Linked DNA regions of Macaca fascicularis. The protein of the gene in region 1 binds, or shares a complex with, the protein of each later gene. Links are inferred from orthologs where the notes say so. Each region holds a gene or a part of one and is shown in the gene's direction. Other genes may lie near its edges.

Region 1 (3,500 bases):
GGATTACAGGTGCCCGCCACCTGTAATCTAGCTTTTTTTTTTTTTTTTTTTTTTTATTTATCTATTTTTTTTTTTTGAGACTGTCTTGCTCTGTTGCCCCGGGGGAATGCAATGGCACGATCTCGGCTCACCACAATCTCTGCCTCCCGGTTCAAGCGATTCTCCTGCTTCAGCCTCCCGAGTAGCTGGGACTACAGGCGCGCACCACCATGCTTGGCTAATTTTTGAATTTTTAGTAGAGATGGGGTTTCACTATGTTAGCCAGGCTGGTCTTGAACTCTTGACCTCAGGTGATCCACCCTCCTTGGTCTCCCAAAGTGCTGGGATTACCAGCGTGAGCCACTGTACGCAGCCTCACTGGACTTACTTTCTCACATCTTTTTTCATTTATACATGTAGACAGGGCTCTTTCCAGGGACCTATTTGGAGACCAGCTATGAGTGTATCCTTACTGCCCCTTTAAATTCACATGGGCAGTCTTAGTTCCTGGTTTTTGCCTTAAGGTTTCTCATTTACCCTTTTGTTTTAGATGTTGTTTAGATGTTGAGGACCCAGAGTTGTTTTTTTCTTTTTACTCCTCTACTGCCATCCATATATTCGTCTGTATGTGTATATATATATATATATATATTTTTTTTTTTTTTTTTTTTTTTTTCTGAGACGGAGTCTGGCTCTGTCACCCAGGCTGGAGTGCAGTGGCGCGATCTCGGCTCACTGCAAGCTCCGCCTCCCGGGTTTACGCCATTCTCCTGCCTCAGCCTCCCGAGTAGCTGGGACTACAGGCGCCCGCCACCTCACCCGCCTAGTTTTTTGTATTTTTTAGTAGAGACGGGGTTTCACCGTGTTAGCCAGGATGGTCTCGATCTCCTGACCTCGTGATCCGCCCGTCTCGGCCTCCCAAAGTGCTGGGATTACAGGCTTGAGCCACCGTGCCCGGCCTGTATGTATATTATACATATATGCCCCACCTCTGCCCAGGTTTCTGTTGCTGTTTAAATGCATTGCTAACTTGTGTTCTTAACTTCTGCTTGGGATTATAGGGCCCTGTAGGGAAGGGTCCTGGCTGTGGCTTTTGGGCTGCTGGTTGGCGAGTCTGGCTGTTTTTCATGCGTGGCATTACCCCTTTGTTGGAGCGATGGCTGGGCAACCTCCTGGCCCGGCAGTTTGAAGGTGAGTGGTTTTCTCTGTGTCCAACTTCTCCTGTTACTGCTTCAAAGCTACCTCTCGTTGTCTGAGTCTATTCCCTGCTCTTGTATGAGCACCCCTTCCTACTGGATTGCCTTCAGGTTCAGTTCTCAAAATGAGTCTGACCTAGTTTTCTATTTCTTGGGCTTCCTTCTGGGGCCTTGAGAGGCAATCATGCACTTGCAGGAGTGGACATTCTTCAGAAGCGTAGTTGTGAATGTTTAAGGTAGCTCATCTTTTTGCATATGCTGGGCACATGGACGCTTTGTTAATACCTAATTTTATTGTGACCATAATAAGTGAGGGACATGAAGGTAGAGACCCTTACTGAAAGCAAGGAATCATGCTTGTAATCCCCTTGGGATACTCTACTTCTAGGTCGACACTCAAAGGGGGTGGCAAAGACAGTAACAAAACAGCGAGTGGAGTCACATTTCGACCTGGAGCTGCGGGCAGCTGTGATGCATGATATTCTGGACATGATGCCTGAGGGGATCAAACAGAACAAGGCCCGCACAATCCTCCAGCACCTCAGTGAAGCCTGGCGCTGCTGGAAAGCCAACATTCCCTGGAAGGTGGGCGTCTCTGCATTTCCTTGGAGGGGTGAACATCGTCTTTAGGTCAGGATCACCACTCTGGGACTCATGAGGGGCCTATCTGGCTCCCACCTCTTTTCTTTTCTCTTTTAGAGAGGTGCTTGCTGTGTTGCTTAGGCTGGCCTCAAGCTCAAGCTCCTGAGCTCGAGCAGTCCTCCTCAGCCTCCTGAGTAGCCGGGACTACAGGTGTGCACCGCAGCACCTGCTTTATCCCGGCTTGATTGTGCTTTTTGGACTTTTAGGTCCCTGGACTGCCAACGCCCATAGAGAATATGATCCTTCGATATGTGAAGGCCAAGGCTGACTGGTGGACCAACACTGCCCACTACAACCGAGAACGGATCCGCCGAGGGGCCACTGTGGACAAGACTGTGTGTAAAAAGAACCTGGGCCGCCTCACCCGGCTGTATCTGAAGGCAGAACAGGAGCGGCAGCACAACTACCTGAAGGTTGGGCAGAGTAGGCTGGGCTGGCTGTGAGCGGTCGGGGAGTGGGCATGAGGGAGGACTGCAGAGTTGTGACTGAACCTTGTTCTCGGGGGAGCGGGCTATAGCGGGAGGCTAATTTCATGTCCACCTTGCAGGACGGGCCTTACATCACGGCGGAGGAAGCAGTGGCAGTATATACCACCACAGTGCATTGGTTGGAAAGCCGCAGGTTCTCACCCATCCCATTCCCCCCACTCTCCTATAAGCATGACACCAAGTTGCTCATCTTGGCATTGGAGCGGCTCAAGGAAGCTTATAGGTGAGTATTAGGGTAGATAGGTTCCTGCTGGGAAGGTGACAGGAGGGAATAGCATCACCCTCAGAGTCCAAAGAGAGAAGGTGTAGCCCCAGTCTCTTCTGGTTTTACTTCCTCCTGGTTTTCCCATTCACCGTTGCCATTGCCTTATCAGTGTGAAGTCTCGGTTGAACCAGTCACAGAGGGAGGAGCTAGGTCTGATTGAGCAGGCCTACGATAACCCCCACGAGGCGCTGTCCCGCATCAAGCGTCACCTCCTCACACAGAGAGCCTTCAAAGAGGTGAGTGAGAGCCTCCCAAGTTTTCTTTTTGGTTCTGCCTTTCATTCTTGGTAGAACCAAAGGTAGCAGGTTGCCTCAGGTGATTGGTGTGAACCAGCCTCCTTGTACCACAGGTGGGCATTGAGTTCATGGATCTCTATAGCCACCTGGTTCCAGTATACGACGTAGAGCCACTGGAGAAGATAACTGATGCCTACCTGGACCAATACCTGTGGTATGAAGCCGACAAGCGCCGCCTGTTCCCACCCTGGATTAAGCCTGCTGACACAGAACCACCTCCACTGCTTGTTTACAAGTGGTGCCAAGGTAGAACTTTCCTGAGATTGCCCTGTGAGGAATGGGGGATGAATTTAGTTCTATGTCAAAATTCTCATCTGGGCAGCATGATTGGTTTACTCTCCTGATGCATGGTAGTAAAAGGAAGTAGTGTTCCTGTTAAACTGAGGAAAGCCCATAGTCAAAGCAATCCGGATGCCTACGTGGAATGGTAGTGGGATTGGTTGTGGAAGGTGATGATAGTTACTGTGGGGCTAGTCCTGAAAGAGGATTTCTAACCTGCTGGAGACCTGCCTTGCTACTCCTCAGGCATCAATAACCTGCAGGACGTGTGGGAGACAAGTGAAGGCGAGTGCAATGTCATGCTGGAGTCCCGCTTTGAGAAGATGTATGAGAAGATCGACTTGACCCTGCTCAA
Region 2 (4,161 bases), on another chromosome or scaffold:
ACGGCAATTTTGAATACTTGGAAGAGCAGTCTAAGTACCCTCACACAAGTTAAAACCACGTGAAGTCAGAGTCACAACTCAATGAGCCACGCACCTCTAATCCTTTACACCTGGAAGTAAAATAGTAACGTGGAGAATTAGGTAGCTGATTAATCTATCCTGGGGCAAATCTTACATACTTTAATTAAAGCCTCTAAAAACACCTGATGTACAGGTTATAAAGAACAGATTCTAGACCAGTCATTATAAGACTTATGCACGTAATACACAATTTTCAAAACTTTTTTTTTTCGCTCTTGTTGCCCAGGCTGGAGTGCAAGGCTCACAGCAACCTCTGCCTCCCGGGTTCAAGCGATTCTCGTGTCTCAGCCTCCCAAGTAGCTGGGATTACAGGCATGTGCCACCACGTGCAACTAATTTTGTATTTTCAGTAGAGGCGGGGCTTTCACCATGTTGTCCAGGCTGGTCTCGAACTCCTGACCTCAGGTGATCCACTCGCCTCGGCCTCCCAAAGTGCTGGGATTACAGAATTGAGCCACCGCACCCGGCGCCAAAATTTTCTTTTGAGACAGGGTCTTGCTCTCTCATCCAGGCAGGAGTGCAGTGGTGGGATCAAGGGCCACTGTAGCCTCAGCCTCCTGGGCTCAAGAGATCTTCCCAACTTAGCCTCCCGACTAGCTGGGACTACAAGTGCGCTATCACATGCAGCTAATTTTTAAAATTTTTTGTGGAGACAGTTTCCCTTTGTTACCCAGGCTGGTCTCAAACTCCTGAGCTCAAGTGATCCTTTCATATCAGTCTCTAAAAGTGCTGCCATTACAGGTGTGAGGATATATTTCAAAATTACGCACAGTTTTTTCACTCCCATCACTTTTTCTGTTATTCCCTAGAGAACTTAATTTTTGCCAATACGTCTTCTAAAATGTTACATTTCCTGCGGAATGCAAGAAACTAAACGCTTCATGAGCTAGTGGTGGCCATTACTATTTTTAATACTTCAAAAAAGCATTTCAATTTACTGTTCACTAGCACATTATGACATCATTCCCTTCCAGTGTTTGCTTGCTCATTAGATAATCCTGTTTCTATTTTGTTCTCTTGCCTTCAATATACAGATCGCAAATATTCCATTTCAGATGATGGATTAAAGATTCAATGAGGCTGCTGAAAAACACCTTTATATTTGAACGGTTTGGTCGGTAATACGCTTTCTCTTATTGCGGTTGATCTGGAGAGATTAATCTCTCACCAAAAGGTAAAATCCGGAGAAGATGAAATAGCAAAACTAAGGACCAATGGGAAGGGGGAGGCAGGGTTAATCGACAACCGTACTTAACACGACAGATTCCAAGGCTTCCATCAGATAAACAAAGGAAGCTGATTTTTCTACAGAGGCTGCAGGTGCGCAAGCTACCTGAAGTATTAGTATGCAAGCCCACTGAGCCTATTACCTTGAAAGCAGAGTCCAAGCACTGAATTTTTCTAGACTCCCATTATAGGTGGACACCCAGAAAGCCAGTGGAGACAATAATGGACGGGGAAGAGAGTGGGGCCGGTCTTCGATTCCTTCCTCCCACTCCACCAAAGCAGAAGCTAAAATCCTACAACCTACACATACCAATCTGCGCCTCCGCCGCTCATAACCATTTTTCAGGTGCAAAAGGAAGGGGTTGTGGGGGCTGGGCTTCATGTGGGGCGGGTGGGAGGAGTTGCAAAGGAGTCAGGTTGAGAGGCGAAGGGTCGCGGGCGCGGTGGGGAGGACTGCACGACGCGAGCTGGGAACACAGAAGGAAGGCAGGGGGCGCCGGGAGGCGCGAACGCCCGAACGGCCGGGGGCGGGGGCGGGCCCTTTCCTCACCTGGCAGCCCTTCTTATGGTGAAAGCCAACAACCACGATGTGCAGTACGGGCCCCCGGGGGGCGCCATCCCCGCCTCTCCTGGCCTTCTCCATGGGCGGCCGCCGCGGGCCCACACTACGACTTCGACTGCCAAGGGCAGCGGGTCTGACGACCCCACCGTGTGCGGAGAGCCGCGGACTTCGGGTGTCAGCGAGCGCAGCACATGAGGGCCGCACCGGGAGATCTGTGGAGGGAGAGCAGCTCCCGCCCCCAGGGCCGCGGCCGCCCTTCTCTCATCCGCTTCCGCAGCTTCCGGGCTGTCACCTGACGCGGCGGCAGCTGCCGGCGAGGCGGGGCGGGGCAAGGCCGGGAGGGCCCTGACGGCTGGGGGTTCTGAGAGACCGAGGTGGAGCCTGGGGGAGTTAGGTGGGGCTAGGAAAAAAGCGATCGACTGGACGGGGGCGGGGGGTCGGGGGTTCGGGGGGTCGGGGGGGGGACCGGAGGGGGCCTTGACGTGGAGCAGCGGGGTGGGGCTTACGTGACCCGGGCGGCTGGGCCTGCGGAGCCTGTAGTGTCCGCGGGACCTGGAGGTGCGGCGTGGCACACCTGCTTTTTCCTCCCTGGATTCAATCTCAAAGCACTTCCTTCTCTTTTGCCTTCTCATTTTCCTCCTTAAAGTTTTCCCCCTTCCCTCTTCTTTTCTGTTTTCCTTGCTTTTTCACATCTTTTCGATTCACTCTCCGAGTGTCCGATTCCTTCACCTCCTTGCCTTTGCCTCTGTGGCCTCCGTCCTTATTCTCAAATATGTAATAACGTGGAGCATACTGGTGAGGTTGCGTATCTGTGTATTCAGCCTTTAAATTACTTGCTTACCCGAGAATTCTTGTTTGTTTGTTTCTAGAGCTTTTTTCCCCTTCATTTAAATATTATGTGTAGCAATCTGAGACGCATTTAAAACCTGAAACCGAATATCCTTGACAATAAAGGAAGTTTACTTGGATACCTGTAAAATGGTTATTCTAGTCCTGCGATTTTAAAAGAGTATTATTTTCATTCCATCTCTTTTTGGGTTTAGTACTCTGAGCCTATTACCTTGAAAGCAGAGTCCAAGCCTCTCAACCTGACTCCTTTGCAACTCCTCCCACCTGCCCCACATGAAGCCCAGCCCCCACAACCCCTTCCTTCTGCGCCTGAAAAATGGTTATGAGCAGCGGAGGAGCAGGTTGATATGTGTAGGTTGTAGGTTTTTAGCTTCTGCTTTGGTGGAGTGGGAGGAAGGAAGGTCAATACAAAATATATGGGTTCTGTTGTCACCAGGGTTTTTTAATTACTGACTGTACTGCAATTTTTTTTTTTTAAGCAGTGAATCATGTCAATTTAAAGTGCATTCTAGAAACACTAGCAGATTTAACAAGTCTTATCTACGACAGTTTTCAAATAACCTAAAGGATAGGAGTCTGCTTCAAGTAGAATTAGAGATTACTACAGTAACTATGATATTTTGCACTTCTGGTCTTGAAAAATAAGGAGCTCTGTTCTAATCTAAGCATAGCGGAGAAAAACAGTAGGCTTCCTAAATCAAATTTAGTTTCTGTGATTCAGTAGAACTGTTTTAATGCTAATACTGTAGACATTTTTCAAGATGTTGCTATACATTTCTGTATTACAAAATTATTGGCATTGGCTCAGAAAACTGTAAAACTATATTGCTCCCTGTATGCAGAATATATTAACTGTTTTCTTAATATATTAACTGTTTTGAGATGTCAACTGTGTGATGTGTTAACTATTAACATTTTCTTGATATAAACTGTCTTGGTATTTTCCACAATTAACATGGCTAAAATTACTGTCTAATGAACACCTTTTAAAGATATCTATAAGGGCCGGGCGTGGTGGCTCACGCCTGTAATCACAGCACTTTGGGAGACCAAGGCAGGTGGATCACCTGAGGTCAGGAGTTCTAGACCAGCCTGGCCAACATGGTAAAACTCCATCTCTACTAAAAAATACAAAAATTAGCCGGGCGTGGTGGCAGGCACCTGTAATCCCAGCTACTCAGAGGGCTGAGACAGGAGAATTGCTTGAACCTGGGAAGCGGAGGTTGCAGTGAGCCAAGATTGCGCCATTGCACTCCAGCCTGGGGGACAAGAGCGAGACTTCCTCTCAAAAAAAAAAAAAAAAAAAAAAAGATGTATGCAAAAACAGGGCCAGGCACGGTGGCTCATGCCTGTAATCCCAGTACTTTGGGAGGCCGAGGCGGGCAGATCACTTGAGGCCAAAAGTTGGAGACCAGCCTGGGCAACATGGTTGAAACCCCATC
Region 3 (4,104 bases), on another chromosome or scaffold:
AGAGCTAGAAAAGATGATCAAAGGACCTAGGAAATAATAACTATTATATTAAATGCATGCTGTTATAGCTAATGAGTCTTGCCCAAGTTCCCCTTCTTTCACTAAATTCATTGAATCTATTATATTTACCTACTATGTGCTATTCAGTAGGAGACATTGCAGCTACAGCTGCGAACAGGACTGAGAGAGTCTCTACTTTCATGGAGTTTATATGCTATTAGGGAGGAAGATGTATGTGTGTGTGGCAGGAAATGAGGTGCAGACACATACCATACAAATGTGAAATGGGGGGTGGCATGAAGAAAACAAACCAGTGATCTGAGTGACCAAGGGCTACTTTAGATTAGGTCTAATGTTGCCTCTGAGGAGGTAACATCTGGGGTGAGCCTTGAACTACAAGGAGCATTACTTCCCACACACATAGCCCAACCAAACCCCACCATCACCCCGCCAACCCACATTAAGATCTGGAAGGAATATTTCAGACAGAAGAAACAGCTATTACAAGGCCTTAAAGAAAGGAGGGATCTCAGTGACCTGGAGGAGCAGACAGGTCAGAGCACAGTAACTAAGGGCAAGTGGTACAAGATGAGGTCAGGTAGGTAATAGCCAGATTAATGCACTGGAGGGCTTCCTATGTACAGAATTGGATTTTATTCTAAATATAGGAAGCCAGGAGTTATTTTAAAAATAAATAGGAATCACAAGAGGTATTTTAAAAATAAAAAATAAAAAACTCTAGTTACTCTGTGGGAAACGAATTGGAAATGACCAAACTGGGAGCTTGTGGCAGAACGGAAACCTAATCTATTGTCCTGACTTAGAGGAAGGGACAAATATTTACTTAGCAAGCCTTTACGTGCCAAGCTGTTCTAAACGCTGAGGATGAACAAACCAGAGTTCCTGCCTTCACGGTGTTCACAGACTAGCGGGCAGAAGACAGACACAGCACGTGTGGCGGTGTAGAGGGCTTGGTTCCAAGAGCCGATAAGGAGGACCCTGGCGACTGCCTAGTCCAAAAGCCCTAGCTAGAGCAAGATCAACTTGTACTGCCCTTAGTACAGCCACGTGAGTGGGGTGACCATCGACCTTAACCAAAAAGATGTCAAGGCTTTCCTCCTCCTCACTCCCGCGTCCCCCGTCTCAGGGAGAGTCTCCCAGCTAGACCCCAGCAGCCTCAGCACACACGGCACGGGGCGACAGCTTCCGGGGGCGGGGCCCGGTCTCTCTCTGCGTCCACCGCGCCTGCTCCCCGGACGAAACCCGCGGACAGGGCTTTAGGTTCGCCGGAATCCCATGCTCCCGACTTCTGCTTCCGGGTCGGAGCCATGGCGGTGGCAAATTCAAGTCCTGTTAACCCCGTGGTGTTCTTTGATGTCAGCATTGGCGGTCAGGTGAGATCCAGGACGCTACCCACACCTGCGCCGAAGGGAAACTGCTCGGGGCTAGCTAGGCAGGCAGAACTCACTCAGAGAGAGCGGACTCGGGAAGCCAGCCAGAAAGCGAAATTGCACCCGAACCTACCGACCTGCAGGGCGGGGAGAAATGAGGAGAAGTCTCCCCAATCCTAGCGCCCCGCTTCTGGAGGAACTGGGTGGTTAGACCAGAGAGGCGGAGGTGGGTGATACCGAGCGGCAGGGTGGTGGGTCAGCCCATCCTGCCCCCAGCTCCGTGAAGCCCTCATGGTCTTGGACTGGGCCTTCTGACAGTCTCCCGCTGATTGCAGGAAGTTGGCCGCATGAAGATCGAGCTCTTTGCAGACGTTGTGCCTAAGACGGCCGAGAACTTTAGGTAAGGACGTGCTCCAGTTCCGCTGGATTAGCTAAGGCAGAAGTCGGGCTCTAGTCAGCCGCCTGAATAGCCTGTCTACCTCTGTCCGTCCGCTCACTGCTCTTGAGACCTGATTCCTCCGTGCTTTGCTCTGTCTGGTTGCCGTTTGGATTGTTCCCGTGTTAATTTACGTTGTTAGTCTGTACGTCTCCGTGTTTGGACGTCTGGCTGGCGGATTGGTGGACTTGCTGGCTCCATTGTTTATTCTTTCCCGTCTTTAGAGGCGGTCACGACTGTGATGTCATAGTGATTGAATTGTTCACTTTTTGTCCCTTTCAGGCAGTTCTGCACCGGAGAATTCAGGTCAGTTTCAGATGTGTTTGACTTCTTTGCCTGCTCCAGAAGGGTGTTCTGGGGCTGCGGTGAGGGTATCGGTGAACCAGCTGCTGGCCTTGAATGATTGCTGGTGACAGTGATAGAAGGTAATGCCCCAAGGGTCTGTCCCTAGTTTATTTGCCTTCTTTATGTCTGTCAACCATCTTTAGGAGAGTCCTTTTGGCTCCAGTGCATGGTAAACTGGAAAGGCCTTGTGCTACCTGCTATCACTCCAAGTCTCTTTCTTTTTGTTATAGAAAAGATGGGGTTCCAATAGGATACAAAGGAAGCACCTTCCACAGGTAAGGCTTTTGGCAAGCCATCCTAGAGTCTTTCAGAAATATTTCCTGGGGGATTAGGCTCTTTAGAGGAAAATAAAACCAGAGGTAATTCTTACATTTCTTGAGAAGAAATGTTTTTGTGGACTCAATAACTGAAGATTTATTAAATATTCTAACTCTACTTATACTCTCCCACTTCTTATGTCTTTAAAACAGAAACTACTCATCTTTACAATATCCTGTCTTTTTCATGCACTTGTTTGTGCAAATGCAGATTTTTAAAGAAGTACACTTGTAATCCTAAAGTGCATATAATATATCCTGCTGGTTGCTATTTATAACTAATTCCTAAAATGATCATATATGATTGTCCAAGGATAATCATATTTCCTGGGGAGTGGAGTATGGCAACACTTAGTCTCATTTCAATATAGAATCTTTCTCATGGCCTCACTGTGGTTAGTAACAATGTTAGCACATAATTATATCACAGCTTTAGAACTGTGGGTCTCTAATCCCCAGTAAGACTCCTGTGAAGTGGTATGTGTGATCTGCATTCTACAGAGGAGGAAACTGAGGATAACAAAGGTTAAGGACCCTCCCTAGGGGTAATAGCTAACAATTGTTAAGCCCTTACATGTGTAGCAGTACCTTTCACATAAATTCTCTGTAGTTCTTTCCCCCAAATTTACATCAAATCCTTGATCTGCCTTTTGCTTTGGCAAGTAATGTGGTCATTCTTCCTGCAGGCTTTCAGCCCCTTCTTCTTGTTACTGTTCAGGTACCAGATCATGCACTTGATCAACTCTAACATGCCCTAATTTATAACTAAAATCCTTTTTTATGGTTAATTATCCTTTCAGCTTAATCATTCCAGGAAAAGAATAATCTTCTTTTTTTGTTGTTTTGGTTTTTGGTTTTTGGTTTTTTTTTGAGACAGAGTCCCGCTCTGTCACCCAGGCTAGAGTGCAGTGGCATGATCTTGGCTCACTGCAACCTCCGCCTTCTGGGTTCAAGCAATTCTTTTGCCTCAGCCTCCCAAGTAGCCGGGAATACAGGCATGTGCCACCACGACTGGCTAATTTTTGTATTTTTAGTAGAGATGGGGTTTTGCCATGTTGGCCAGGCTGGTCTCAAACTCCTGGCCTCATGTGATCTGCCTGCCTCGGCCTCCCAAACTGCTGGGATTACAGGCGTGAGTCACCGCACCCAGCTAAGAATGGTGATTTTATAATAGCCAAAGTTATAGTGTATTTTGAAATCAATGTTAATCTAATACAATAATAACAAAGTCTCCATAAAATCTTCTCTCAGTATTCTTTGCTCTCTGTTTCAGGGTCATAAAGGATTTCATGATTCAGGGTGGAGATTTTGTTAATGTAAGTACTATTCCTTTTCTATCAAAGACCTGTAGTTTTAGTTTTTATTATTGTTGCAATTGCTGTTTTTACTACAGAGACCCAGTCTTAAGGCTTGAGAACAATAGCCAGGTTTGATGGGGGTGTTGGAGAGAATGGTGATGGGGAAGTTCTTGAAAGTGGCTAGGTACAACTGACTGTAGATAACAGACTTTAGCACTTTGATTGAGGCATTAACTTCCATGGTCCAAATCTCAGCCTTTTTGAGCCAGAAATTGGACTTTTTAAGAATACCCTGTAGATGATCTATGATAGGTTCA
Region 4 (3,500 bases), on another chromosome or scaffold:
CTGAGATCGCGCCACTGCACTCCAGCCTGGGTGACAGAGCCAGACTCCGTCTCAAAAAAAAAAAAAAAAAAAATGAATGTCATATAAAATGGAAGAGGGATGCAGAAGTGGACATAGTGACTCGAACCTTCACTAAGGAGTGAGGAGTTTGCTGTTGGGGCTGCAGGGTTGAGGAAGGAGTTTTTTTAAGAGGGGAGATAGTGGGTAATCGTTGCGTGTGGCTGGGCATCTGCGACAGGAGGGAAAGCAGAGGGTGCTGGTGCCTGTGTGGGGGTCGCTGGATTCAGTGCTGGCAGCACGAGCGAGTTCTCTTCCCATGTCACGGAACCTGCTTTCTTGGTGAAGCAGGAAGCGAGAAGCTAGGCTGTGGGAAGTCAAAAGAGTGGGCCACCTCACCGCACTGCGGGTTCTAGAAGTGCTGTCTAGAGAGTCCTGAAACGGGTTTGTTGGGGGAGGGGCGAGTGGCAGGAGGGACCCTGGAGGAAGGAGCTTGAGGCTGAGGTAGTGTGCGAGGGGCTTTGGAGGGGGATCGGCACAGGCCTGGTCAGGAAGGCCCTGTAGGATGTTGGGTGTTCATTTAAAGGGCATCCAAACCCATTGACGGGTTTGGAGCAGAACAGTGACCCCAGTGAAAGAGGTGCAGAGTGGAGTCAGGAGGCAGAGAGCAGCTGGGCCTGCATGGGCTGTGGGCGTGGCTTGTCTTGCTGCTGCCAGGGAGGACCCTTGGGTTCTTGGGTCTCAATGGCATCACCCCAGAAACTGCTGGGTTTGCCCACAGCTGCTCCCTCCCCCAGGTGGTGGAGATTGTGAAGAAGCTGGAGTCTCGCCAGCGGGGCTGGGAGGAGGATGAGGATCCTGAGCGGAAGGGGGCCATCGTGTTCAACGCCACGTCCGAGTTCTGCCGCACCTTGGGGGAGATCCCCACCTACGGGCTGGCTGGCAACCGCGAGGAACAGGAGGAGCTCATGGTGCGTCTGGGGCGACCCCACCCTGCACTTCCCTGGGCTGGCTGGGCGCCTGCACCAACCCTGGCCTTTTGTGCCCCAGGACTTTGAACGGGATGAGGAGCGCTCGGCCAACGGCGGCTCCGAATCTGACGGGGAGGAGAACATCGGCTGGAGCACAGTGAACCTGGACGAGGAGAAGCAGCAGCAGGATGTGAGGGCTGCGCCGCTGGCGGGTGGGCATGGGGGTGGCGCTCAAACTAGAGATGAGCACTGGGCTCAGTGTCCAGAGCCTCAGCCTCCTCATCCAGAGTGGGCTCTGCAGACCTCTCAGGGCGATCTGAGGAGTAAATGAGGAAATTAAATGTTGTGGAGGCCTGGTGCCTGGTGGGTGGTGACCAGTGGGTGGGGCTGAGAAGAGCCGGTATGGGCTGCTAACCACTTCTGTCACATGTCCCCTAGTTCTCAGCCTCCTCCACCACCATCCTGGACGAGGAACCGATCGTGAATAGGGGGCTGGCGGCTGCCCTGCTCCTGTGTCAGAACAAAGGTAGGGAGCTCAGGGCAGCCCTAACTTGGGTGGGCCTGGGTGCTGCAGCAGGAAAAGGGCTGGTGAGGGCCTGCGGTGCGGCAGGTGCAGGCAGGGTCCCCTCTGGTCCCCTCTGCTGCCCCTTTCAGTCCCAATGCTGGAGCCAACTCCCTGGCCCAGAGCCACTCCTTCCCCTCCACCCCGGCGTCTGTCCGTCTGCTCTGCCTGTGAGGCTCCACACGTGCTCCAGGAAGGAGAGCGGAGTTGAAACTGGTCTAGCTGTGGCACAGAGAGCCCTGGTGTTAGGACCCCAGCTCTGCATTTCCCTGGCCAGTGGCCCTTGGCATGGGGCGCGTTTCTGGCATCTTTGCTTTGCCTGTAGAACAGGCCTGATGGCTTTCCAGAGACAAGGAAAGGGAGGTCCCCCCGCAGGGCCTGCTCTACGTTCTCAGGCGGCCCTGGAGCTGCGGCCCTCAAGGGGTTGGGAGTCTCACAACCCCTCCGTCCCTAGGGCTGCTGGAGACCACAGTGCAGAAGGTGGCCCGGGTGAAGGCCCCCAACAAGTCGCTGCCTTCAGCCGTGTACTGCATCGAGGATAAGATGTGAGTGTGGCGGGGTGTGTGCAGGGCTGATGGGCCTGTGCCAGCTCGGAGCTGCAGGAACACAGCAGGCAGCAGCTCCTCACACTAAGGCCCCCTCTGTCTCGGGCCAGGGCTATCGATGACAAGTACAGCCGGCGGGAGGAGTACCGAGGCTTCACACAGGACTTCAAGGAGAAGGACGGCTACAAACCTGATGTTAAGATCGAATATGTGGATGAGACGGGCCGGAAACTCACACCCAAGGAGGTGAGCAGGCGGAGGCCCAGCCTGCCACAGGGAGGCCAAGCCCAGGGCCGTGCAATGCCCCAGGGTCCTGGCTCCATCAGCCTCTGGCCGGGGGCCTGGTGAAGTGCCACGGATAGGGAGGGGGCCCTCAGGGCCGAGAAGGGCTCTGCCTTAGTTAGTCTCTAGTGGGCACAGCAGTCCTTTCACAGGCCAGGCAGGAGGGTCCAACAGGCACTCGGGACCTCTGCCCTCCTGTCCTCACCCGTGTGAACCCTTCAACGCTTTCCTGGCCCGCAGGGCCATTCCAGCATCCAGACCCTTCCATCACTCTTGTAGGCTGCCCGACCCTCCTGCCCACCACTCAGCTGCCCCCATGCTCTCTGGGGTTTGTCTCCCTCCAGCCCCAGCGTCCAGGCCCCGCCCCTGCGTGGCAGGTCACCAGGTTCCCTGTACTCTGCCACCATGGCAGCACATCTGCTAGCCAAGCTGGTCTCCCGGCCTCTGCTGGGGCCCTGCAGAGTGCCAGGGTCTGTGCCCTTTTCCTATCCCCTTCCCACCACCCCAGGCCTGGCATTGGGGTGAATCAACACCCGCCCTGTTACTACACACCTTGTGGGCACAGGTGGCTCCGGCCCCAGCCAGGGCTCTGCAGCTCCCCTCATGCCCTGTGTCCCCAGGCTTTCCGGCAGCTGTCCCACCGCTTCCATGGCAAGGGCTCAGGCAAGATGAAGACAGAGCGGCGGATGAAGAAGCTGGATGAGGAGGCGGTGGGTGCTCTTGGGGACGTGGGGGGCCTTGCGCCTGCCGGGGCAGGGGTGGCTGGTGTGTGGGGCCTACTGCAGCCCTTGTTGAGTGGCCCTGACCCCGCAGCTCCTGAAGAAGATGAGCTCCAGTGACACGCCCCTGGGCACTGTGGCCCTGCTCCAGGAGAAGCAGAAGGCTCAGAAGACCCCCTACATCGTGCTCAGCGGCAGCGGCAAGAGCATGAACGCGTGAGTGACTCGAGGCTGGTGGGGTTGGGTGTGTGGGGTGGGGAGGGGAGAGGTGGCGTGGCCTGTGCCCGCCTCTGCAGCCTCACGCCCTGTTCTTCTCTGCAGGAACACCATCACCAAGTGACAGCGCCCTCCCTCCCCAGCCCCGCCGCAACCTTCATATTAAATAAAGCTCCCTCCTTATTTTTTCCTCCCTGGTCGTGGTACA
Region 5 (4,116 bases), on another chromosome or scaffold:
TCCTCCACGGTTCCCCAAGGCACGAGAGCTCCCAAGGCGGCTCCAGTAGGACTTTTCGCTTCTGGGGAAGGTGGCGCCCCTTCTACCCGGACCCTCCCACCATGCGGACAAGGGTCGCAATCCTGCCAGTGTCAGGAAACCCCCACTGACTGGAGCGAGGCGGGTGTGGGGGTGAGGCGGGAGTCGGCCCAAGGTCGCGCGGCTGGACCCTGCCCCGCGCTAGGGCGGGGTCCCCTTCGTTCCTAGGGTGAAGACTGGGCCCACAGAGAGGCACTGACCGGGCTCGAGCGGCGGCCCCGCTGCCTCCGCCTCCGTCCTCATGACCCGGGCGGCGCGGGGCGCCCATGGCCCCGGCCCAGAGCGGGCTACAGCTTCCGCTTCGGCTGGGGCGGTAGGGCGGTCGGTGCGTGTCGAGTTCCTTCTCCGCCACCGCCGCCGCTGCGGAGGGGAGAACCGGAGGCGGTGGCTGGGCCGCCCCAAGCCCCGCCCCAGCCCTTCCAGGTCTCGAATCTGGAGGCCCCGCCCTTTCTCTAAGCCCCGCCCCAAACTTTGATCCTAGAGGCCCCCAGCCTCCCGATTTAAATCTGCCCCGGCCATTCACCGCCTCAGCGTCGAGTGACCCAGCCCTCTCGTCCAATCCTCGCGCAGCCGCGAAGCCCAACAAGACGCGGACCCGGAAGCTCCGCCCCTTTCCTTGAGCCCCGCCCCAAAGCCCGTGCATTTCGTGAACAGAGGCTCCTCCCTTCAGCAAGCCCCGCCTCTGCCGGGGCCCGCTCCTTTGCCAGTCTTAGCTGTAAACCCTGGTCCGGCCCAGTGTATTCCGGAGGCTCCAAACAACTCTCCTTAAACTGCCTTTAGGGATGACCCTGAGCCGGCCTCCTCTCTACTCTATACCTAACTTTATCCGTACGAGATACGTAGCCTCACTCAGGGCGCCCCTTACCTGGCGGTGCTGGGATCAAAAAATTAAATTGTGAGGGGAAGTCCTGGCCCTTGGCCCAACCTCCTGCTGCCCCCGGTCTGAGGGCCCAGGCCCCGAGTCTCCGCCTTGCCGTCCAGCCTGTCCTTGGTGTGGGGCGCTTGGAAGTGCAAGCACCCTCTCTGGCTCTTTGCCGGCCCCAAGGGTCGTTGTTTGCGGCGGTCCCCGGGCCCAGTCTTCGGCCCTCTTTTCCGGTGCCGGAACTATCGTACTGGTGCCTTAGTTTCCCAGCCGGCACGCGGGGTGAGGAGGAAGCGGAGGCGACACCGCTCTCACCACTGGGGAAAGGAAGGAGGCGGGCCCTGCGCGCAGCATTTTGGGAACGAGTGGAATTCTGGGAGCTGGGCCCGCCATTCTCTTGATTCACGCCTTCGCCGTAGCGGCTTTCGCCGTGCACCGAAGAGAAGGAAAAGTAGGCCAGAACCGGTGAGGCTGGGGACGGGCGAGGGGAGGTCGAGGTGCCTGTGAGGGGCCGGGGGCTGGAGAAAGACTCAATGCATGAACTCTGCGGGATTCGGGGAGGGAAGAAAGCGGGAAGTTTGGACCACCCAAACATCAGCGTCGCCTCACTAGCGCCTGGAAGTAAGTTCATTAGCTGCTCCCTCAATGTGCATGCTTCTTACATTCTGTATCTCTCCAGGTGAGTGTTTTTCAAAGTTTCCAGGCAGTAATCTTGAAGTTATTTCCTATGAGTTTTTTGAATCTTGAAGTCAAATCCTATGAGGGTTTTTTTTTTTTTTTTTTTTAAAGTAGAGACGGTTTCACCATGTTACCCTGGCTGGTCTCGAACTCCTGGGCTCAAGGGATCCACCGGCTTCGTCCTTCAAAAGTGTTGGGACTACGGGCGTGAGCCATCGCGCCCAGCCGGTCATTTTTTAAAAAGTTCTTTGCATGTCTGCCCCCAGCTCCCTTTCAGGCAGTGGTCCCGTCATGCTTTCCACACTGTTGCAGCAGTTTTAACTGTTGCAGAAATTTTAACAAGTTTCTCTGCTTCTAAACCTTACGTTAGATCCATTTTGTAAATAAATGCTGCTACCTTTTCATTGTGTCATTCTTTACCTATAATTTTGCAGTGGTTCCCCACTATCTTCAGCATAAAATCTAGGCTCCTAAGGCTGAAAGCCAGGGATCCTCACCAAAGGAGCCTGTCTTTTCAACCTCATGTTCTCCTGTCTTAGGTGCACTTAGGTTCCAACTTTGAGTCGTCGCTCATGTCAATAAAAAGTTCACTACTTGATGCTTTTAATTAGGTCAAGTCAGGTGCTTTCCCTTATTTTCCTCCATGACGGGCATTTCCTGCATATAGCACGTTGTCACTTCGATATTTTCTCAATATCCTTGATGGTAAAGTAAGGGAAGGGTTAAAGAGCTGCATTAAAAGTACAGTCTCCTCTCCTAGATATGCATGGTCCTTAGGTCTGTATCTGCTCCTTCCGTAGGGTAGCCACCAGCTACATGTAGCTGTTGAGCACTTGGAATATGGCCACTGGGATTGAGGGACTGGGTTTTTTATTTTAATTCTATTGTGTTTTAGTTAAGTTTAATTTAAATAGCTACATGTGGACATGAGCTACTGTATTGGACAGCTCAGGCCTGTGTTATGATTCTCAAAATATAATAATCTACAATTAAGGGTTGACAAATAACAGTGCAACAGATTAACATTCCAATCCCCCTCCCCTACACACACAGTATTCGCTAATGGTCCTTTAGCTGAAGATTAAGGGACATAGGGTAGCAGGGACACATGGTCGATGGGAGATGCTCTCTTTTCATTCCTATTTTTACTTCTGTCCACCCCACCATTCCTCCTCACCCGACATCTTGCACATATTTGCCAGATAGTTTCCTCCAAGCCAGGAGCTGAGCTTTCTTTTTTCTTTTTCTTTGATAGAAAATGCAGCTTTGGCGTTTTTGCTAAGTTTTATGGAGTGCCAGGCCTTGAAGGAGGCATGACGTGTGCCGCATGCCTTCTCAGACTCTGAAAGATGAACTGACTGTTGTCTCTTTCACTGTAGAGCTCTCTTCCTGCCAAGATGTCTATTGGTGTGCCAATTAAAGTGCTGCACGAGGCCGAGGGCCACATTGTGACATGTGAGACGAACACCGGTGAGGTATATCGGGGGAAGCTCATTGAAGCAGAGGACAACATGAACTGCCAGGTATTCTGCTTTGCATGTGAGGCTGTGTGGGAGGAATGGCCCTGTGTCTTGAAGGACAGAAAGGTGTGGGTTGGGGGTCTTCTGTAAATTGTTCTCATTCAGCAATGATTTCCTGAGTGCCTAACACATACCAGTCAGGTGCTGTTATAGGCTCTGGGGATGTGGGCATGAACAAAACACATAGTCTTGAGGCAGAAAAGCCATTTGGAGATTTGGAATATTTTACTTCGCCTTTTTTGTTTTTTCCATCCCCAAATTTGGGGACCTGTTTGGGAGAAGTTCCTTCAGTAGAATCCTTCAGGTTCAGAGCCATTATCCATTTGCCTCCACTTGCTTTGCAGTTAGGAGAATCTTCTCACATACTGTGTTTGTTTCCCTTTTCTCTTGGAGGAGGAGTCTCATTTGATTATTGCAACTACCTTGTGAGGTAAGCAGGTTTGGTGGTAGTCTTGTCATCCATAAAATAGGGAGAATGAGATTAAAGGACTCATCACTCTGATAGTAAATAATGGAGTAGTTTCTTGATACGGTGTCCTTCTCATGGCGCAGCTTTGCCTTTTGCATAGTCATCTGAATTTTTATAGCATTGTTTTTCAGTTGTATCTTCACACTTTCTTTGTTCTTTAAACCATTGGTTAAGAACTTGGACTTGGGAGTCAGAGAGAGATGTGGGTTTGATTCCTAATTATATGACCTTAGATGTATTAATCACTCAGTTTTCTCATCTGTAAAACGGGAGTGTTATTATTTTGGGTTCTTTGATGTAGATGCCAAGACAGAATTATGCAAGGTATTTATTGGGGGAAATGACAATAAAGGATAAAGGAACAAGGAAACAGTAGTAGGCAGGGAAATTTTCAGTCCGTGATGCTGGTCTGACTGGTGAAACGAGAGGGGAAAGAAGGAGGATTGAGCAGGAAGAACCTTAGACTACAGTGTAGTTTTGAGGAAGTCTCAGCAAGGCAGTGATTGCTC
Region 6 (3,960 bases), on another chromosome or scaffold:
TTTTTTTTTTTTTTTTTTAAAGACGGAGTCTCTCTCTGTCACCCAGGCTGGAGTGCGGTGGCGGGATCTCAGCTCACTGCAAGCTCCGCCTCCCGGGTTCACGCCATTCTCCTGCCTCAGCCTCCCGAGTAGCTGGGACTACAGGCACCCGCCACCTCGCCCGGCTATTTTTTTGTATTTTTTAGTAGAGACGGGGTTTCACCGTGTTAGCCAGGATGGTCTCGATCTCCTGACCTCGTGATCCGCCCGTCTCGGCCTCCCAAAGTGCTGGGATTACAGGCGTGAGCCACCGCGCCCGGCCAATTTTTTTTTTTTTTTTGAGACGAGTCTCGCTCTGTCGCCCAGGCTGCAGTGCAGTGGCATCATCTTGGCTCCCTGCAACCTCCACCTCCCGGGTTCACGCAATTCTCCTTCCTCAGCCTCCCGAGTAGCTGGGATTACAGGCGCCCGCGACCACGCCTGGCTAATTTTTTTTGTATTTTTAGTGAAGACGGGACTTCACCATGTTGGCTAGCCTGGTCTCGAACTCCTGACCTCACACAATCCATCCACCTTGGCCTCTCAGAGTGCTGGGATTGAAGGCGTGAGCCACCGCCCTCGGCCTTTTTTTTTTTTATCAGCTGAATTTAAGATTAAAAACATTTTTTAATTTTATTTTTTGAATTTTATGTTTTTACTTTAACAAATATAGAAAAGTGCACACTTCATAATCTTCACAAACTCCCCACAATTCTCGATAGGATGTGTGTAGAGGGCACGAACACATCACGCTGTGGACGGCAGGGTTATGGAAAACAAAACCTTTTGAGCTCAGACGCCGAGTGCCTCCACCCGCCTAGCAGCCCAGGCTAGGGTCCGCGCCTGCGCAATGGGAGCCGGCCGGCCCTGGAAGAAGTCGGAACGAAGGAAACCCCGCCCCTTTCCCGGCTTCCTCCTCCCCTCGGTTTTACCCAGCTTGCGCTCCCCAGCCGCAAGTCGGCCGCGCTTTACCCTTCAGCGCTTGGAGGGTTCTGCGTCCCTTCCCGCTGCGCCTGCGCGGTCCCGCCTCGCCCCACGCGCGGGCTCGCGCTTCGGTTCTCCCAGACCTGGTCTCAGCATCCGGCTCTTTTCTCGCTCCGGCCCGCTGCCCGCTGCGCCAGCACCATGGTGGGTACCGTGACGTCAAAAGGGGTCGCCCTCGGGGATCTCGGACGGTTGGGGCAGGGGGGTCTGGCCTTTGTCCCCCTAGGCTGGAGTTAGGTCCGGAGTTTTTATCTTCATCGTTAGTCCTGTTCCTCAAGTTCGTTGAGGAGACACCTGAGAGCAAATGGGATTTTTTTTTCCATGATGAGGAAAAAAACCCCAACCCTGAGAGAGATTCAGTGGGGACAGCGGGAGACGGAAAAGTTAGACCTTAGAGCACTTCTCTGCCAGGCAAGCTTCGGCAGGGTGCGGGTGGGATGTTTTCTGTAATTCATTGAAAGGAGTGGGCAGGTACCCGAGAAAGGTGGTCGATTGAGAGAGCACACTGGGGAGGCCGAGGTATGCAGGGCAGAGCCTCTCTGGGACTTTAAGTGATGGGCTCAATGCAGTGTGCAGAATAATTTGGGCTCCAGCCTTTCACCTCTCAACCAATTATTCTTTCCTGTGAAATTTTGAGAACTGTTAGGGATGCAATGGGGTTCACAATACCGGTATTTGGTAATACTGTCAAGGGACACTCCTCCCTACCATGTTCCTTCCCACATGATGGTTTTCCCCCTCTCTCCCAATAGCTCTTCTATTCTTTTTTCAAGTCCCTTGTGGGCAAGGATGTGGTCGTGGAACTCAAGAATGACCTGAGGTAGGTACCTGTTCCAACAAGTCTGTTGGGGGTGGGTGTGCCCAGGGCCCTGGAACCTCTTTAATTTGAGAAATATTTGAGGGCTGGGTGAGGTGGAATATGTACAGAAGAAATAAATGGCCGGGTGCGGTGGCTCACGCCTGTAATCTCAGCACTTTGGGAGGCTGAGGTGGGCGGATCACGAGGTCAGGAGATCAAGACCATCCTGGCTAACACGGTGAAACCCTGTCTCTACTAAAAATACAAAAAATTAGCCAGGCATGGTGGCAGGCGCCTGTAGTCCCAGCTACTTTGGAGGCTGAGGCAGGAGAATGGCGTGAACCTGGGAGGCAGAGCTTGCAGTGAGCCCAGATCACGCCACTGCACTCCAGCCTGGGTGACAGAGCGAGGCTCTGTCTCAAACAAACAAAAGAAATAAATGGGTGGGGTGCAGTGGCTCACGCCTGTAATCCCAGCACTTTGGGAGACTGAGGAGGGAGGATTGCTTGAGCCCAGGAGTTTGAGGCTGCAGTGAGCAGTGATTACTCCATTGCACTCTAGCCAGGGCAATAGAGCAAGACCCCATCTCTAAGACAAATTTTAAAATTTAACAATAAATAAATGCCTTGTGCCTTAAATTTACAGATAAGCTTGGGGATTGTATTGTGTATTGGAAAACAATACAAAGCAATATACAGTTTAAAGAGTAAATACTGGTCAGGTGTGGTGGCTCATGGGCTGGACGTGTGGCTCATGCCTGTAATCCCAGCACTTTGGGAGGCCGAGGTGGGTGAATCACGAGGTCAGGAGTTCAAGACCAGTCTGGCCAAGATGGTGAAACCCCGTCTCTACTAAAAATACAAAAATTAGCCAGGCATGGTGGCAGGTGCCTGTAATCCCAGCTACTTGGGAGGCTGAGGCAGGAAAATCGCTTGAACCTGGGTGGCAGAGGTTGCAGTGAGCTGAGATTACGCCACTGCACTCCAGCCTGGGTGACAGAGTGAGACTCTGTCTCAAAAAAAATAAATAAAGAGTAAGTACTAGGCTGGCCATGGTGGCTCACACCTGTAATCTCAGCACTTTGGGAGGCTGAGGCAGGAGGATCACTTGAGTCCAGGATGTCGAGACTAGCCTGGGCAACATAGAACCATTTCTATAAAAGATTAGCCAGATGTGGTTTACATGCCTGTAGTCCCAGCTATTCGGGAGACTGAGGTGGGAGGATCACTTGAACCCAGGAGGTCGAGGCTGCAGTGAGCCATGATTGTACCACTTTACTCCAGCCTGGGTGACAGAGGAAGACTGTCTCAAAAAAGAACAGGCCAGGCCAGGCGCAGTGGCTCACGCCTGTAATCCCAGCACTTTCGGAGGCCGAGATGGGCGGATCACGAGGTCAGGAGATTGAGACCATCCTGCCTAACATGGTGAAACCCCGTCTCTACTAAAAATACAAAAAATTAGCCTGGTGTGGTGGCGGGCGCCTGTAGTTCCAGCTACTTGGGAGGCTGAGGCAGGAGAATGGCATGAACCCAGGAGGTGGAGCTTGCAGTGAGCCAAGATGGCACCACTGCACTCCAGCCTGGGCGACCAGAGCGAGACTCCATCTCAAAAAAATAAACAAAAAAACAGAACAGGCCATAGGCTGGGCATGGTGGCTCATGCCTGTAATCCCAGCACTTTGGGAGGCTGAGGTGGGTGGATCACAAGGTCAAGAGATTGAGACCAGCCTGGCCAACATGGTGAAACCTACGTATTAGATATGCTACTGTGTATCTAATACCTAGTATAGGCCAGTTGTATGATAGGTGCTTAAGGAAAGAAAAATAATATCTGAAGACCTATTGACTAAGCACTATTCTGAATACATTTATTGATTGATTTCTCAAACACTCCTTAGTAATATGTACTATTGCTGTTATACATATGAGGAAACTGAGGCTTAGATCAGCTATACCACTTGTTCAAGTCTACAAAACTAGTAAGTGATACAGAACAGAAATATGATTATGTCCAGCTTTTTTCTTTTTCTTTTTTCTTTTTTTTTTTTTGAGATAGTCTCGCTCTGTCGCCCAGGCTGGAATGCAGTGGTGTGATCTCTGCTCACTGTAAGCTCTGCCTCCCGGGTTCATGCCATTCTCCTGCCTCAGCCTCCCCAGCAG
Region 7 (3,500 bases), on another chromosome or scaffold:
CGCCAAGTCCAAGTGGCTGGCAGGGGATGTGCCCGCAGCAAGGAGCATCCTGGCTCTGGCCTTCCAGGTGGGTGAGGTCGCCTGTGCGGTGAGGGGCCTGTGCACACAGGAGCTGACCTGGGTGCTGACTGGGGCCTGAACATCTCCCACATACAACGTGGCACGTGCTGTGGCTGGGTGCACTGGAGTCCAGGGGCTGCTCCTCGGGAGCAGGGGCCGTGAAGGGGCCTGAGAGTAGGAAAGCAGCCACCTGGCAGATACGTACCTCTTGGCCCCCGACGCCGTGTGACCACGGGTAAATGTTTCAGAGTGTAGAGCATGGGGTCACACGGGCTGAGGGTGCCCTTACGTGAGTGGACGCATTCAGACAGCCTCGCTGAGCCGGGTTGTCTGAGGGTGCCTGGTTGTCATGAGGTGTGTGTGTGTTTTTTTAAGTACTTGTCTTTATTTTCACATATAGCATCCTAATACTTCATGACATACTTTTTAATAAACTGTAGAATGCTGTATAAACGTCAGTTACTGCAGCGCAGGCTAATGTCATAGAGCGTGCCCTTCCTTGAGCAAACATCATGAGAGGGGCCTGGCCTGGGTTTTACCTTCCGCTCTCAGCTGCCTGTTTGAGATGGCATCACTCCTGTGGGTGACCGCAGCGTCCCCTCCGCCTGCCCGCTCTCTGCTGCCTGTCAGGCGGCTTTCCTTGCCCATCGTTTTTGGGCTGCTTTTCAGGTCTGTGATGTGGTCATCTTGCATGGTCAGTGAGCGGCTGTGCTGATTAGGATGCATTCAGACAGCCCTGGGCACCAGCCCTGGGGAGGCTCCGAGGGCAGAGCCTTCATGTCCACTGGGCTCTGGGCTGTGTGAGCCTCCTCGGCCTGTGGACGCCTTCTCCACATGTCAGTGGCACTCTGGGAGTCCTCTCTCCTGCCCATGTGGGCTCATGAGGACAGAACAGCTGGCTTCCTTTCATCAGGCTCAGGGCAAAGAGCGAGGTTGGGTGTGGTGGGTCTCTATAGGGTGTGAGTGACCCATTCAGGGGCTTTGAGAGGGTGTGGATGGATCCTGGATAAGATGGCCCTGCTCCCACCCCCATTATTGCTCAGTGCTTTGGCAGCCTCCTCGCTGTCCGCGCTGTACTAGAGTGAACATGGACCTGTGTGTTTCCAGGTGAGTCCGGATTCTTGCACTGGAGTCTGCTCTGTCATCTCCTCCCTGGGAAGGGCTTGGGCCGGACTAATCCTGCAGCAGAACAAGGCCTGGCTCAGTTCCTGCCTGCCTGCTTTTGATTAAGTGTGATCAGGCGCTGGTCCCTGTGTTCTGACCCCTCTTGACGCTGCTGTACTTGCCCTCCAGGCCAACCCCAACAGCGAGGAGATCTGGCTGGCGGCCGTGAAGCTGGAGTCCGAGAATGATGAGTACGAGCGGGCCCGGAGGCTGCTGGCCAAGGCGCGGAGCAGCGCCCCCACCGCCCGGGTACGCAGTGGCAGGCAGGGCTGGGCCATCCGGGGTGCGTGGTGTGCACACGTGGGCCCCGCACCTGGCTTGAGTGGTGATGTGAGATGACAGCAGGCAAACGAGACCAGAGCACATTCATATGGCCAGGCATGGTGGCTCACGTCTATAATCTCAGCACACAGCACACTCATCTTTGTGATGTGACTTTAAAACATTCATATGGCCAGGCATGGTGGCTCACGCCTGTAATCTCAGCACACAGCACACTCATCTTTGTGATGTGACTTTAAAACATCCGTGTGGCCGGGCGTGGTGGCTCTCACATCTGTAATCCCATCTCTTTGGGAGGCCAGGGCGGATGGATTACCTGAGGGTGGGAGTTTGAGACCAGCCTGACCAACATGGAGAAACCCTGTCTCTACTAAAAATACAAATTAGCTGGACGTGGTGGCACATGCCTATAATCCCAGCTACTCAGGAGGCTGAGGCAGGAGAATTGCTTGAACCTGGGGGCGGAGGTTGCCATGAGCTGAGATTGCGCCACTACACTCCAGCCTGGGCAGCAAGAGGGAAACTCAACAACAACAACAACAAAACCTGCATGCGGCCGGGCGCGGTGGCTCACACCTGCAATCCCAGCACTTTGGGAGGCCGAGGAGGGTAGATCACGAGGTCAGGAGTTCAACACCAGCCTGACCAACATGGTGAAACCCCGTCTCTACTAAAAATACAAAATTAGCCAGGTGTGGTAGCGTGTGCCTGTAGTCCCAGCTACTCGGGGAGGCTGAGGCAGGAGAATTACTTGAACCTGGGAGGCAGAGCTTGCAGTGAGCCGAGATCGCGCCACTGCACTCCAGCCTGGGTGACAGAGCAAGATTCTATCTCAAAAAAACAAAACAAAAACATACTCATATATTTATCCCCACCTTTTGTGTACACAAACAGGCTATGAAAAGCTTACAAAAGTACCCACAGTGCTGCAGGTAACAGTGTCGAGGACGAGCGTAACACGAAGCACGTGCCTTGGAGCCGATGCCCTGCTGACGGTGCGTGTCTGCCCCACAGGTGTTCATGAAGTCTGTGAAGCTGGAGTGGGTGCAAGACAACATCAGGGCAGCCCAGGATCTGTGCGAGGAGGCCCTGCGGCACTATGAGGACTTCCCCAAGCTGTGGATGATGAAGGGGCAGATCGAGGAGCAGAAGGAGATGATGGAGAACGCGCGGGAAGCCTATAACCAGGGGGTATGTCTGCCTGCACCCTCGGGCTGCAGCTGGCCCGGCATTCACAGAACTGAGCCCCCTGGTGCAGGGCCATTGCCCTTCACCTCTGAGGAGATGTGGAGGGCTGGGGGTTACAGCGAGGGAGCTGTGGGCTCAGGACCCACACCCCGGTCCCCTCACTGAGTTCTGTGCTTTGCCTTGTATGAAGCTGCACACGCTGCTCTCAGAAGTGCAGAGCGTGGCACACCTGAAGTAAAGGCTGGTATGTACAGACCTGTGTGCACAGGTCCACAGCACCACCGCACACTCGTAAACCCACAAATGCAGAGTGGGACACAGGCAGTCCTGAGGTGCTGGCTCGCCCACTGCAGTGAGCAGCTGGCATGGCTGCGTCCCAGTTCTTCATAGACACCACCTGAGCTGCTCTCTCACTTGTCGGCTGCAGTTGAAGAAGTGTCCCCACTCCACACCCCTGTGGCTTTTGCTCTCTCGGCTGGAGGAGAAGATTGGGCAGCTAACTCGAGCCCGGGCCATTTTGGAAAAGTCTCGTCTGAAGAACCCAAAGAACCCTGGGCTGTGGTGAGTCCTGATGAGTGGGGGCAGCCTGGGCTCTTGGCACAGCTTACCCATCAGGTGGGCCGTCCTCACCCAGCTGCTTGTGTGGAGTGACTTGTGCAGTGTTTCCAGGCTCGGGGGCTTGCGAGGCAGTAGGTGCTGGCCACGAAAAATCACGGTCCCTGCCTTGGGAGGGTTCGGCTTAGGTACTGGGACAGGCCTGCAGATGGTTTGATGCAGTTTAGTTTGTGTTCTGATGGAGGGTGCCT

Evidence for each region.
Region 2: PRPF8 (region 1) and LSM5 share a complex: the UniProt entries of both Homo sapiens proteins name them as parts of the U4/U6-U5 tri-snRNP complex. The link is inferred for Macaca fascicularis from reciprocal best matches to the Homo sapiens genes PRPF8 and LSM5.
Region 3: PRPF8 (region 1) and PPIH share a complex: the UniProt entries of both Homo sapiens proteins name them as parts of the U4/U6-U5 tri-snRNP complex. The link is inferred for Macaca fascicularis from reciprocal best matches to the Homo sapiens genes PRPF8 and PPIH.
Region 4: PRPF8 (region 1) and SART1 share a complex: the UniProt entries of both Homo sapiens proteins name them as parts of the U4/U6-U5 tri-snRNP complex. The link is inferred for Macaca fascicularis from reciprocal best matches to the Homo sapiens genes PRPF8 and SART1.
Region 5: PRPF8 (region 1) and SNRPD3 share a complex: the UniProt entries of both Homo sapiens proteins name them as parts of the U4/U6-U5 tri-snRNP complex. The link is inferred for Macaca fascicularis from reciprocal best matches to the Homo sapiens genes PRPF8 and SNRPD3.
Region 6: PRPF8 (region 1) and LSM2 share a complex: the UniProt entries of both Homo sapiens proteins name them as parts of the U4/U6-U5 tri-snRNP complex. The link is inferred for Macaca fascicularis from reciprocal best matches to the Homo sapiens genes PRPF8 and LSM2.
Region 7: PRPF8 (region 1) and PRPF6 share a complex: the UniProt entries of both Homo sapiens proteins name them as parts of the U4/U6-U5 tri-snRNP complex. The link is inferred for Macaca fascicularis from reciprocal best matches to the Homo sapiens genes PRPF8 and PRPF6.

The regions. Positions count from the first base shown.
Region 1 is NC_088390.1:1,799,951-1,803,450, reverse strand, and holds part of PRPF8 (pre-mRNA-processing-splicing factor 8), read left to right. Parts: intron 1-1,040; coding exon 1,041-1,170; intron 1,171-1,563; coding exon 1,564-1,760; intron 1,761-2,023; coding exon 2,024-2,230; intron 2,231-2,364; coding exon 2,365-2,528; intron 2,529-2,679; coding exon 2,680-2,806; intron 2,807-2,919; coding exon 2,920-3,112; intron 3,113-3,391; coding exon 3,392-3,500. UniProt on the Homo sapiens protein: Plays a role in pre-mRNA splicing as core component of precatalytic, catalytic and postcatalytic spliceosomal complexes, both of the predominant U2-type spliceosome and the minor U12-type spliceosome.
Region 2 is NC_088377.1:97,812,454-97,816,614, forward strand, and holds the start of LSM5 (U6 snRNA-associated Sm-like protein LSm5), read left to right. Parts: upstream 1-1,361; 5' UTR 1,362-1,530; coding exon 1,531-1,654; exon of another isoform or gene 1,655-1,663; intron 1,664-1,858; coding exon of another isoform or gene 1,859-1,951; exon of another isoform or gene 1,952-2,133; intron 2,134-2,157; exon of another isoform or gene 2,158-2,264; intron 2,265-4,161. Other genes in the region: late secretory pathway protein AVL9 homolog, read right to left, coding at 1,859-1,951. UniProt on the Homo sapiens protein: Plays a role in pre-mRNA splicing as component of the U4/U6-U5 tri-snRNP complex that is involved in spliceosome assembly, and as component of the precatalytic spliceosome (spliceosome B complex).
Region 3 is NC_088375.1:192,210,766-192,214,869, reverse strand, and holds the start of PPIH (peptidyl-prolyl cis-trans isomerase H), read left to right. Parts: upstream 1-1,304; 5' UTR 1,305-1,328; coding exon 1,329-1,394; intron 1,395-1,726; coding exon 1,727-1,791; intron 1,792-2,109; coding exon 2,110-2,133; intron 2,134-2,402; coding exon 2,403-2,447; intron 2,448-3,762; coding exon 3,763-3,805; intron 3,806-4,104. UniProt on the Homo sapiens protein: PPIase that catalyzes the cis-trans isomerization of proline imidic peptide bonds in oligopeptides and may therefore assist protein folding. Participates in pre-mRNA splicing.
Region 4 is NC_088388.1:8,419,510-8,423,009, reverse strand, and holds the end of SART1 (U4/U6.U5 tri-snRNP-associated protein 1), read left to right. Parts: intron 1-778; exon of another isoform or gene 779-794; coding exon 795-968; intron 969-1,047; coding exon 1,048-1,158; intron 1,159-1,406; coding exon 1,407-1,494; intron 1,495-1,984; coding exon 1,985-2,075; intron 2,076-2,185; coding exon 2,186-2,321; intron 2,322-2,977; coding exon 2,978-3,067; intron 3,068-3,170; coding exon 3,171-3,292; intron 3,293-3,397; coding exon 3,398-3,416; 3' UTR 3,417-3,482; downstream 3,483-3,500. UniProt on the Homo sapiens protein: Plays a role in mRNA splicing as a component of the U4/U6-U5 tri-snRNP, one of the building blocks of the spliceosome. May also bind to DNA.
Region 5 is NC_088384.1:28,879,729-28,883,844, reverse strand, and holds the start of SNRPD3 (small nuclear ribonucleoprotein Sm D3), read left to right. Parts: upstream 1-1,316; 5' UTR 1,317-1,405; intron 1,406-2,997; 5' UTR 2,998-3,015; coding exon 3,016-3,141; intron 3,142-4,116. Other genes in the region: protein GUCD1, read right to left, coding at 279-321. UniProt on the Homo sapiens protein: Plays a role in pre-mRNA splicing as a core component of the spliceosomal U1, U2, U4 and U5 small nuclear ribonucleoproteins (snRNPs), the building blocks of the spliceosome.
Region 6 is NC_088378.1:139,906,423-139,910,382, forward strand, and holds the start of LSM2 (U6 snRNA-associated Sm-like protein LSm2), read left to right. Parts: upstream 1-1,160; 5' UTR 1,161-1,323; coding exon 1,324-1,413; intron 1,414-1,754; coding exon 1,755-1,822; intron 1,823-3,960. UniProt on the Homo sapiens protein: Plays a role in pre-mRNA splicing as component of the U4/U6-U5 tri-snRNP complex that is involved in spliceosome assembly, and as component of the precatalytic spliceosome (spliceosome B complex).
Region 7 is NC_088384.1:120,163,527-120,167,026, forward strand, and holds part of PRPF6 (pre-mRNA-processing factor 6), read left to right. Parts: coding exon 1-67; intron 68-1,353; coding exon 1,354-1,473; intron 1,474-2,520; coding exon 2,521-2,697; intron 2,698-3,121; coding exon 3,122-3,255; intron 3,256-3,500. UniProt on the Homo sapiens protein: Involved in pre-mRNA splicing as component of the U4/U6-U5 tri-snRNP complex, one of the building blocks of the spliceosome.